Oryzias latipes: one gene and its partners. The protein of the gene in region 1 purifies or fractionates together with the protein of each later gene. This does not show direct contact. Links are inferred from orthologs where the notes say so. Each region holds a gene or a part of one and is shown in the gene's direction. Other genes may lie near its edges. The genes, in order: slc6a15, golga5 and klhl36.

Region 1 (3,123 bases):
CAGCTACAACAAGCGAGACAACAACTGCCACTTTGACGCCGTCTTGGTGTCGTTCATCAACTTCTTCACCTCCGTGCTGGCCACCTTGGTGGTGTTTGCTGTGCTCGGCTTCAAAGCCAACGTCATGAACAGCAAATGCGTTGCTCTGTGAGTGCGCCGGCAGCAAACGCCCACTTTGACGCCGCCGCTGCGACATAACCCTTTTTGTCTGTTCTTTGAAAAGGAACACCAATAGAATCGTGGCGTTGTTGGGAAACGGCATCGAAGCCACGCTCATCCCCCATCACATAAACCTGACTCAGGTCAGTCAGGTGACGGCGGATGACTACCATCAGATGATCGACATCATCAAGGGCGTGAAGGAGGACGAGTTCCAGAAACTGGGGCTGGAATCCTGCACCATTGAAGATGAGCTGAACAAGGTTCAATAACTGAAGAACAAAAACACTGCGTTCAAAATGGTTATGCAAAGTGTCACGAAGAGCAATTATTGGTTTTGAATTTGTCTTGAGGCTCTTTGGATCATTGATATCAAACTCAGTGGTAATTAAATTGGAACACGGTGTACCAGATATTTTCTGGTTTTACCTCCTCGAGTTCTGGCATGAAGATGAACAATCTCAGATTAGAATCAATAACTTTCCTCTGACTCGTTTCCCCGACAGGCAGTCCAGGGCACGGGCTTGGCCTTTATCGCCTTCACAGAAGCCATGACCCACTTTCCTGCTTCGCCATTCTGGTCCGTCATGTTTTTCCTCATGCTGGTTAACCTCGGACTCGGCAGCATGTTCGGCACCATTGAGGGAATCCTCACTCCTCTGATTGATGCGTTCAAAGTCCGCAAAGAGCTTCTGACAGGTGAGGCGTGCACGTTCCCAGCTGAAGTACAGACTGTTCTGTTCTGAGGCCTGGATTGTGTGGAGAAGATGCCAGAATGTGGTCAACACGAGTCCCCGCTTGTCTCCTGCAGTGGGGTGCTGCGCGCTGGCCTTCTCCATCGGCCTCCTGTTTGTCCAGCGCTCAGGGAACTACTTTGTGACCATGTTTGACGATTACTCCGCCACTCTGCCTCTGCTCATCGTCGTCGTGTTGGAGAACATTGCCGTCGCTTGGGTCTACGGGATTGACAAGTAAGCAAGCGGGCCTGGGCCACAGGTTGGACTCCCAACTTGTAAAAAGTGATGAAGAAACCAAACGTTTCGGCATCCAGGCGCTGTCTTTTGACGCACTCGTCTGTCGGGTTGCAGATTCTTTGAAGACCTGAAGGAGATGCTGGGATTTGCTCCGTACCGTTTCTACTATTACATGTGGAAGTACGTCACGCCCATCCTGCTGCTGGTGCTCCTGTGCGCCAGCTTCATCCAGCTGATCATGACGCCGCCCAGCTACAGCGCCTGGATCCAGGAAGAGGTGAGACCGTCTCAGGCTTAACACCCGTGAGGTCCGGGATCAGCAGGGGGGGCTTCTTGGTAAATGTGCATACGTGTACCATGAAAGATTTATGAAATCTTTAAAAAAAAAAAAAGGCCCCAAAGAAACTTGTCAAAAATTGTGACATTTTTAAAAATAGGATAATAAAAATCTGCCAATGGGGTCAGAAAACGCTCTTAGTGAAAAATCCTGGTAAGGGAAAAATTCTAACCATTTTTTCTGAAAATAAGATTCGTTTGCTTTTAAACAACTTCAGTGATCAGATAATTTTTCTTGCAACACAGAAAAAAAGGCTTTTTTTATGAAACGAGAAACTTTTTACTTTCTTAAGATCCAGTTTTTGTCAGGGGTCGTCAACCTGGGGCTCCAGAGCCACATGGGGCCCTTTTAGCGCTAAAGTTGTGGCTTTGAAGAAAACCACTAACAGTCTGAATAAATAATAACTTTATGAAGTTACTTCATGTATGTTTAGATTTTAAAAAACTACTGAGGTGATCATGTATATATATATTGTAGAGCAGGGGTGTCAAACTCATTTTGGTTCGGGGGCCACATTCAGCCCGTCTGATCTCAAGTGGGCCGGACCAGTCCCGTAAAGGCAAAATAACAGCTTTGTTTGTTTTTTTCACTCAATTTGAAAAAATGCCTCAACCAACATAGTAGCTTAATCCCTTGGGGCTAATGGATCTCAAATAAAATTAATTTCAATAAAAAAAAAAGTTGTTCTATTCAAATTTATACAGACTGAATATTTTACATCTGACACTGAAGCGATCCAGAAACTTTTCTTTATGGTGAGTCTCATAGTGGTGCTGAATGTTGTAGTCTTTGAACACTGCAACCTGTTGCTGACATACCAAGCATGGGGGTTTGCATTCAGCTTCGTGAAAGAAAAAAAAACTGTCCATTTTTCCTGGAAGGCTCTTCACTCCACTTCACTTTTTGACAACATTTTGGTCATTAGGGTGTCACTACTGATCATCCTCATAGCAAGATAACAGCGGTAAGGCTCATAGGGAACTAAAGTGAATCTTACCCAGACGCAGAGCTGTTATGTTTCGCTTTTGGCACGTGCAGAGATAAGCTGTTCACCTGTTTTGCCTTTCCTTTTCTCCCCCGAGTGGCGGAATTGCGCACTTCGGTTATTTCTTTAAAAAATCATAACTCGCCACAGGAATGGACTAGAAACTTGCTTGCTTTTTTAACCATCCTTATGATTTTTACTCTTCATGTGTGGGCCGGACTTAACCACCTAGCGGGCCGGGCTTACTTTGCACCAACAGTCCCGTCCACAACTCAGAGGTGAATTTCTAATGAACTCCTGTTGCTCTGCAGAAACTATGTCCCAGAAGAAGACAAACTGGTTTTTGGATTTTGTTTACAAATAGCATCATCAGAATAAAAAGATTATTTTGAAAATAGATCAAACGATGATCAGAGTGGGACACATATTCTTATCTCTAGTTGCTGTTCCGAGGCAAAGTTCTTAAAGTATAAAAATAAATAATTAGAATTATAATATTTAGAATTCTAATCTGCTGCAGCAGGGAATGATTCCCCCTTAAAAAAAGGGTGTATTTTATTTTGAAAGGAACTTATGTGGTGCTGCTCATTGTAACTATAACGACAGTACATCTTCTAAATCAGGGGTCGGGAACCTTTTTGGCAGAGAGAGCCATAAACGCCACATAT
Region 2 (4,428 bases), on another chromosome or scaffold:
GCTTTTCCTCACGAGAAAACTTTTTTATCAGAAAGTGAAGCTCTTGTAAGCAGTTCTCCCCTCATCCCTCCATCCTGTCTCTATATCAGAGGAGACCTTCCTCACTCAGAAGGACCCTGAGGACTACAGCAGGACTGAGATGCTGTCTGACAAGATTTACGTTGTTCAGGCTTTTTTTTTTTTAACCACTGGTGGAATCTGCTAGCTTCTCCTCGCCGACATTTTGTAAATCCTGAACCTTTATGATCATCTATCCTTGTAGTCCACCCTGAGACTGAACTCGCTCGTGGATTTTTGTAGATGATCCCCGGCTCGTCAGGCAGACATCTGTGGGTTTTTAGCTCTTTGAAATGTGCCGGTTTGAGCAGAACCGTTTCTACGGCTGATCTGGCGATTAAAACGTTGCTCAGTTTCTGTTTTCTCTGCTTGGTTTTTGTTTTTTTTTGTTGTTGGGAGAAACTCCACCTCCTGGACTTCCAGAGCAGATTATACATGTTATCGATTGTGTCCATAGTCGGGTCCTGTATTGATGTGGCATGCCGTGTAAATAAGCATTTTGGAGTGATGCGGGAAAAAATAATAAAAAAGGAGCTGTTTTGTAACTTTTGTGTCTGGTTTTGATTTGGACGAGTCCGTCTACGGATCCGTCTCTCCAAATATCCATTTGAATTGACTTTAAAAGCTGCATTATTTTAAATAATATTTGCCAAGTATTGAAAGAGAAGGCACTTTGTAAACTGAATCCTGAGATTAGTGTGTGAATTTTAATCTGAATCCTTAGATTACAGAATTCTAGTACTCGGATTGTTCCGTGAAAGATTCGACTTGGAGAAAGTTTAATTTTTCTACTGAGGATGAAACTGTTGGAAACTTTCATTTTCACAAACAAGTTCCTCCGTTTCTTACAGATGATTTTAACGCAGAATTATTCCACTCATCATTTTACGTTATGAAACAACAGAACCGTAGCAGACGCATTCATAAATGCTGATACAAAAGAATTTGGTTTAAAAGTTCCTGATTGTTGGACACTTTTTGGATCAGATGTGTTTTTTTTTGTTTGTTTTTACTTAATTCTGTTTAAACTGAAGATGAAGCAGAAAAGTTTAAAGGAAGAATTCTAAAGCAGTGTTTGATGCAGACAATGTGCTGTTGATGGAAAGTATAAGTTTATAGTTAAACAAAATAAAAAAAACATTATCCAGAGCATTTATCCAGTTGGTTAATATTTTGTGAATATTAAAAACAAACTTTTAGTATTATGAGGTGGATTCAGACCACATTTTCTGATTCTAACCAAAGCACCAGAACATTTTCTTCAGACTGGCTTAATAAGACTGACAGGACATAAAAAGTGGATTCCACTTTAAATAGTTATAATTTCTTAGAATATATTTGTTTATTGTCGTATTTTATAGAATAAATTGAGAAAATGTTTTGACTAAACATACTCAAAACGTTAAAATACAACACTTTAGCAAGGACAGTTATGGTGTTGTAAAGGACGTGTTAAATACTATTATTGATTAATATTTTTGTGGTTTTGTTTAAAGGAAAACAATAGTAATACAAACAAATATTTAAAAATGAAATTAAAAGTTCCATTTCTGGTCAGGCTTCTCCGAGGACGCGCTGTTTGAGGTCCTTGATCGTTTCCGGGTCCACGTATTGTGAATGTGGCTAAAATCCTCCCGAATGATGTCTTTAATCAGGTTTTTAGGTCATTCCATGGTTTAGGGGTTAAACTGCAGCGGATTCTCTGTGAGCAAAGACAGATTTACCTGCATCCTTAGGTCTTCGCGGTACGTCCACAGCTTTTCTTTTTTTCTGGAGCCACTAGCTAGTGAGCTAGCTAGCATGTTAGCTTCAGCTGTGACAGAGCTTCTCCCAGACAGACTCGATAGGGTCGCTTTAAGGTCGGGTGTCTTCTGCTACAGTTAACTTTCCCCCCACATTTCGGAGTGAAAGCTGGTGTCGTTTAAGGCAGAACTGCAGCTGTTAGTATCGTAGCTGCAGTGAAACACTGTGGTTGTAGTTCGGAGCTGCTGTGATCCTGTTTGTCTAAATGTTTGAACGGATCGGACAATTCTGACTAATATAAATTTTATTATGCATTTAAAGGATCAAAGAATGCGAGAAAATGGTTTTCAAGCTGCATTTTCTATGTGATCATGTTTTCATCAGACAAAAAAAACATTTTTGTTGTATGAACAAATGAAATATGTTGTCACAGTTTTCCCATAGACGGGAGCTGTTTATCAGGTGAAGGAAAGCTTCACGACAGTTTCATCTTCAAACTTTGCTGCTGTCTTGTGTACTTTGGGAGGCTTCGTGTTTGTATTCGCTTCAGGGCCTCTGTTTGTTTGTGTGCCCTCGTGGTGCGTTTGTGTTCTCCCTGAAGCGTGGTAAAAGTCACGCTCAGGCTGATCTGCGTTTTGGTTGGTTTGTCCTAAAGAGTCTTTGGGTGAATCCTCATCTTCTTTGGACCTGATCCCTCAGTTAAAATGTTGCTCTTTTATGTTGTTATTGTGTGAAACATTTTAAAAAGATAACGATTGTCAACGTGGTTATAGCAGCTAATTTAAATATTAGTGTGACATGTTTGTACATTTAAATCTTAAAAGACACCAGCTTTTCATCACCGCTTTTCTTTCATCTTCGGCAGGTTCTTTTTTTCTTCTTTCAGACCTTATGGGGAGTGGGGAAAGCTCACGGGATGAACTGGGATTAGGGGATTGGGATCAATTTTAATCGGTAATTACATTTTGGGGTTTGTCCCATCTGAACTCTCTGATTCTTCCCTCAGGGAGCAAGATGTCCTGGCTCACAGACCTGGCAGGAAAGGCAGAACACTTCCTGAATCAAGTGGACCAGGGAGCTGCGACTGCTCTGAGCAAGAACCAGGCCAGAACCTCTTCTTTTTCATCGTCCTACGAACAGGAATCCAATGTCAGGAATGAGTTTGTTTCCACGGCCGCGGTGGAAGCTGACGCACCGTCACCCTGTCATGATGCGCCGAGCTTCATCGCTGCTGCAGCGGGAAACATCAAGAGATCTAGTGCAACCCTGCTGGCTGGGACCGCCAACATTCCCAGTAACGCAGCCAGTGCTGGCAGCGGCGCCGCCAACTCCATCAAGAGCTCGTCCAGCTTTGTGAGACCCAAAAAGAGCGAGCAGGACGTGAACGACGACATGCTCTTCAACTTCCTGAACAGCTCGGATCCTCCGGAAATCAGCCGACGGGATTCGAGGAAGGATCTGGCAAAAGTGGCGGCTCCGATCCCAGAGCTGCAGAACCCAACCCCGACTCCGCCTCCCGCCTGTGTCCAGGCCACGCTGTCGGCCCCGCCCACGCCCCCCTCCACCCGCGGCGTCTCCAGGACCTCCAGCATGAGCTCTCTGTCCGCTCACAGCAACCGAACGTCAGAGGAACCAACCCAAGGTCAGTGAGGAAGAAAACGAAGCTCAGCATGTACAGAAAAACATGAAGCTTGCTGAAAGCTGAACTGCTTTGAAAAGCTAAAATATTTAGATTTATGTTTCCTTTAAATGCTTATTCTAATTTCAGTTTTGTTGAGTGATTTAAAAAAGCAGCTTTCATGAATTTCTGCACACTGAAGCTTTGCACATTCCGGGGAGCGATGCGTTTCTGGAGGCAGCTTGAAGGACTCAGAACTGCTCCTTGATGCGTTCAAAGTCCAGTTTCATAAACTGTAACTTTCTGCCTGTTTGTGTCTTAAATCTTTCTATTATTTTGAATTCCCCAAACAGCCACATTTACCTGCACAATGTGTTAAAATTCTCATTTTTTCACTCTCCCTGAAGACACACCTGACAGTTCAGACTCCAGCTTGGCTGTTCTTCAGGATTCCAGTAAACAGGGGACCCCCCCTCCTCCCCCCACGGAGGAGCCCGCCAGCCAGGTCCTGTCCAGCCTGCGCCTGGAGAACCAGCTGCTGCGCAGCGAGGTGGCGTCCCTCAACCAGGAGATGGCGTCGGTCATTCAGAGAGCCAAAGACCTGCAAGAGGGTGAAGGAAAAGAGCCGTCAGCGACGGGCGGTCAGCCCTCGCCGCTCTCTCAGCTGATCCCTTCTGTCCTCCATGCTGTCCTCAGAGCTGAACCAGGCCCGTCTGCGGGCGGACCGGTGGAACTCGGAGCAGGCCCAGAAGGACCGCGCGTTTCGAGATCTTCGCTCGCAGGTCGATGACCTCAGTGAAGCTTTGTCCGCCAAAGACGGTCAGCTGGCGGTCTTGAAGGTCAGACTGGATGAAGCTGATCAGCTTCTGAAATCCCGCAACGCTGCGTTGGAGGAGGCTCAGAGAGAGACGTCCAGGTACCCTGCTGCCGTTAACCCCAGAGAAAGACTTTCAGCGTGTGTCTCAGATCTTCTGTCCCGTCTAGAATCATGCAGGACCACACAGAGGGCA
Region 3 (3,651 bases), about 26 Mb from region 1:
CTGCTCAAGTTAATGCCTAAGTTTGCATTTAAATCATTGTTATAAATATTGACTGTAATAACTTTTTAAATAGCGTAAGGTGTGAAATAAAAAATGGTGATATTTAGGTGTACTTTTGAAGTGTTATTCCTGGTGTAAATGCATGAAATGCTGCATAGTGTTCAGAACCAATCTGGGGAAAAATGCATTTAACGTCGATAATGTTTAGAGGACTTTATTGTTAACCTTCCCCTCTAGCAAACGTTGGTCATTTTAATATTAATACATGCAATTGTGTTTTTAAAAGTGAACTTTTGTCTACTGTTGAACCTTTCGCTGCGCAAAGACTTCCTTCTTTTCTCTCGTCTTTCCGACCGACAGTGGTCAGAAGCGCAGGGGAGATTTCCTTCAGGGCTGAAGGGAATTCTCCTTCGGGGTTCACTTCCCGTTGGAAACCCTCAACCTCCAGAGCGGAATAAGAATGACTCCAAAACAGTTATTCTGGGAATGACACCTTCTCCGTCCTCCTCATCCGTGCTCACCCCACCCCCCCCCCCCCCATCTGCACCTGCAATCGCCCCTCCCCTTGTCTCTCGTGGATTGCACCCCGCTCAGCACACACACGCTGCAACACTACCCCTGTATTGATCAAGTGGTATAGGTTTATATGGGATTAAGAAAGTAAGCAGTGCTAGAAAATTGTGTTTCCAAAAAGTAATTGTTACATTAATCTAATTCAATGTCCCTGATTTCATTTTCATGTAGATGCAATCCTGCAGGAATTAAAAGAAACATGGCAGCAGCTAAAAATGAAGTATAAAAACATAATTCAATCAGGTCAAATGTGAGCATGTCATGGATGTAGGCTTTGTTGACAATATTTGACATATGAAACATCTACATAGCAAGACCTAATGTTGTTTTCATTTTGTATATGTAATTGACTGCAACGAAAAACGGTAACGCTTAAACAAAAACGTATGGGGAAATGACAAAACATCGAGTCGAGGTCTCAAAATCCTCGTACGACGTAAATGTAATTCTCTACGAATTAATGCAGCCTCCTCGTCTATTGGGTCCTCCAAAAAAGGACAAGCCATTCTTGTCACTTAGATCGCGTGACGGAAATGTGGGCAATGAAGGTTAAAGCGAGAAATACCGCTTCGTCTTTAAAAAGGGGAGGGGACCGGCAAAAACTTCGAGTTTGGAGAATAAAACCTGCTCCCGACCAGGTTAGGTTCACAGCATAAGTAACCATGGATACTGACTCCGAGTAAAAGTTAACTCTCTTTCAGAAACGGGTTTGACTTACTCTGCTTTCTCTGGTTTGACAAACCTCCGATTCTGAAACGGAAAACCCAGGGTTTCCCTGATTTCCGGGTTTATGAACTCAGAGTTTACACTTAACCTCCTTTGTGAAACAGGCCCCTGTAGAACATAGTAAAAACAGATTGTTCCATTTTTCTTTTAGAGCTGATTTTGGTTATATTTCTATTTCTGATCATCAATTTATTAGTATTGTTACTGTGTTGTTCAAAGTTCCATACTTTTATTTTGAATTTTATTAACAATAATAAGAAACTTGTTATGAAACCTTGACGAATCCGCCGGGAAGTAGAAGAAGAGAGGTCTACTTCATGATGTATCAACAGTCCTAAAGCCCAAAACGCAAAATCTGTTATTGATCTACATGTTGATCAATTCAACACAATATAAAAAATTGTATATACTGTAACAATCCAGCCGGACCGTCACTTTCGTGGGGTGGCTGAAGCCAATTGATAATTAAGATGGCTTTGTTGGAGAGCTGAGCGTGCCCCATACACTGCCCGACCCCGATCAGTCTCAAGTATATATGAAGAGTCAGAGCACTGGAGAATCTCTATGAGCGCAGAGTCTGCTTAATCTAGCACACCCTAACAGCCCACACAGCATGGATTTGACTTCAGTACACAACCCTCTGACTCGAGGTTTCACCCTAAAGCTCCCCACTTCCCATGAGCCTTTGGGGCTGAAGGCAGCGCTAACCCCCGGGTCGCTACAATACATTTTTACTGTTTGTACTTGTTTGTATTTCAAAAAATGTTGTTAAATTGAAAAAACAATGATTCAGATTACAATTGGAGGGTGGTATTAGAAACTACCTTTGAAGTAATATTGCTTCATTAATTTCCAAATATATATATTTTTAATTGAAAATAACAGTTTTTGTTTTATCCCGACTCTTTTCTTGGAAGAAAAAAAAAGTAGCTTTTTTGAGTTTGTTCTTCTTCTTTGCACACATGCGATTGGTGTTTCCAGCTGTTCTTAATGCTATTTTAAAATATTAAAAGTGGACCTTCTGTGTTCTGAACACACAGCCGGTCCGTGGAGACATTATGGATAAACCGGGCCGCTTGTCTCGACTCCACAGGATCAGTGAGACTTCCAAGGTCAGCCTGTCTTTGTTTTCAGTTCACTTTAATGTTTGACCTGGAGACGCATACTTGTGTTGCCTTTAAGTTGTAGATTAATAGACTTGCACAGTTAATTTTTTTCTTCAATATGTGATGTATTTCATATTAAGTGTTCTACTTGCACCAATGTCTCCTACAAACTCCACAGAGTTGAAAGCCAGATTTGTTGCGTCTAAGTTGTGATGTTGTGCCAGCAGATGTTCTCCTCAGTGGGCCAGGCCATGGAGGTGCTGCAGGGCCTCAACGAGCAACGGAAACATAATCAGTTCTGTGACGTGGTGCTGATCGCAGATGACCAGCGAGTTCCTGCGCACAAGGCCCTGCTAGCCGTCTCCAGCGCTTATTTCCACGCGATGTTCACCCTGGGGATGAAGGAGGAGCACCAGCAGGAGGTATTCGGAAAAACACACCGCAATCACCTGCTAGCAAAATCCACTTCATTTGTTGTTTCATAAATCACTTAAACTAGGCTAATCTTGATAAAATAATAGATATATAGCCGGATATATTACAATAAAAGCTAATTATTTATGCATTAAGACTAGAAAATGTGTAGATTGTGTCTTTCTTATTTAGAATTTGCTGAAACCACACACTCTTCATTTGAAACTAAACAACAATTTGATCTTAACATCTGCAGCATCACCAGCGGTTTACTGCACTGTCCTTTAATGGAATCCTGCCAAAGTTTTATCAGTGAAGTGCTTTTAAACATGCAAAGTAGAAAGATTTCATGCACAATGAACTGTGTGCAGGTGGAGCTGGTTGGGATGTCCTACGTGGGCCTGAAAGCGGTGGTGGATTTCCTGTACAGCGGAGAGCTGATGCTCGATGGAAGAAACTTTGACTTTGTGTTGGAAGCTGCTCACCTCCTGCAGGTAAAACCATTGAATTGGAGATCTTTGAATTTCCTCATGTCCTTCCTCTACAGTCATTATACCTTTACTTGCTTCTGTGTGTTTTTAAAATCACAATTACTTTGACACCAGTAATTAATCTACAGGAAGGATTTATCCACCCTTTATGTGAGTACTGTAACTTCTAAAAGACCATTTTGATTGAATAACTTAAGTGCAATAAAATATTGTTGTTTTTTTCTCTCATGTCTGTATATTAAATACACAGTCAGATGTATTATAAGAGTTATTTTCTGAATAAGTTCTCTGGTTACTGGATATTGCATCTATCTATGCCACCATAGTCATATAATCTCAAG

Evidence for each region.
Region 2: the proteins of slc6a15 (region 1) and golga5 purify together in Homo sapiens (co-immunoprecipitation; 3 studies listed by BioGRID and IntAct, counting the BioPlex papers as one, with this or other methods). This does not show direct contact. The link is inferred for Oryzias latipes from reciprocal best matches to the Homo sapiens genes SLC6A15 and GOLGA5.
Region 3: the proteins of slc6a15 (region 1) and klhl36 purify together in Homo sapiens (co-immunoprecipitation; 3 studies listed by BioGRID and IntAct, counting the BioPlex papers as one, with this or other methods). This does not show direct contact. The link is inferred for Oryzias latipes from reciprocal best matches to the Homo sapiens genes SLC6A15 and KLHL36.

What each region holds. Positions count from the first base shown.
Region 1 is NC_019864.2:2,131,776-2,134,898, forward strand, and holds part of slc6a15 (sodium-dependent neutral amino acid transporter B(0)AT2), read left to right. Parts: coding exon 1-147; intron 148-223; coding exon 224-422; intron 423-665; coding exon 666-858; intron 859-970; coding exon 971-1,130; intron 1,131-1,247; coding exon 1,248-1,410; intron 1,411-3,123.
Region 2 is NC_019880.2:1,780,460-1,784,887, forward strand, and holds the start of golga5 (golgin subfamily A member 5), read left to right. Parts: upstream 1-1,622; 5' UTR 1,623-1,802; intron 1,803-2,806; 5' UTR 2,807-2,814; coding exon 2,815-3,442; intron 3,443-3,825; coding exon 3,826-4,029; intron 4,030-4,114; coding exon 4,115-4,334; intron 4,335-4,402; coding exon 4,403-4,428. UniProt on the Homo sapiens protein: Involved in maintaining Golgi structure. Stimulates the formation of Golgi stacks and ribbons. Involved in intra-Golgi retrograde transport.
Region 3 is NC_019864.2:27,885,787-27,889,437, reverse strand, and holds part of klhl36 (kelch-like protein 36), read left to right. Parts: intron 1-2,339; 5' UTR 2,340-2,357; coding exon 2,358-2,411; intron 2,412-2,632; coding exon 2,633-2,827; intron 2,828-3,190; coding exon 3,191-3,313; intron 3,314-3,651.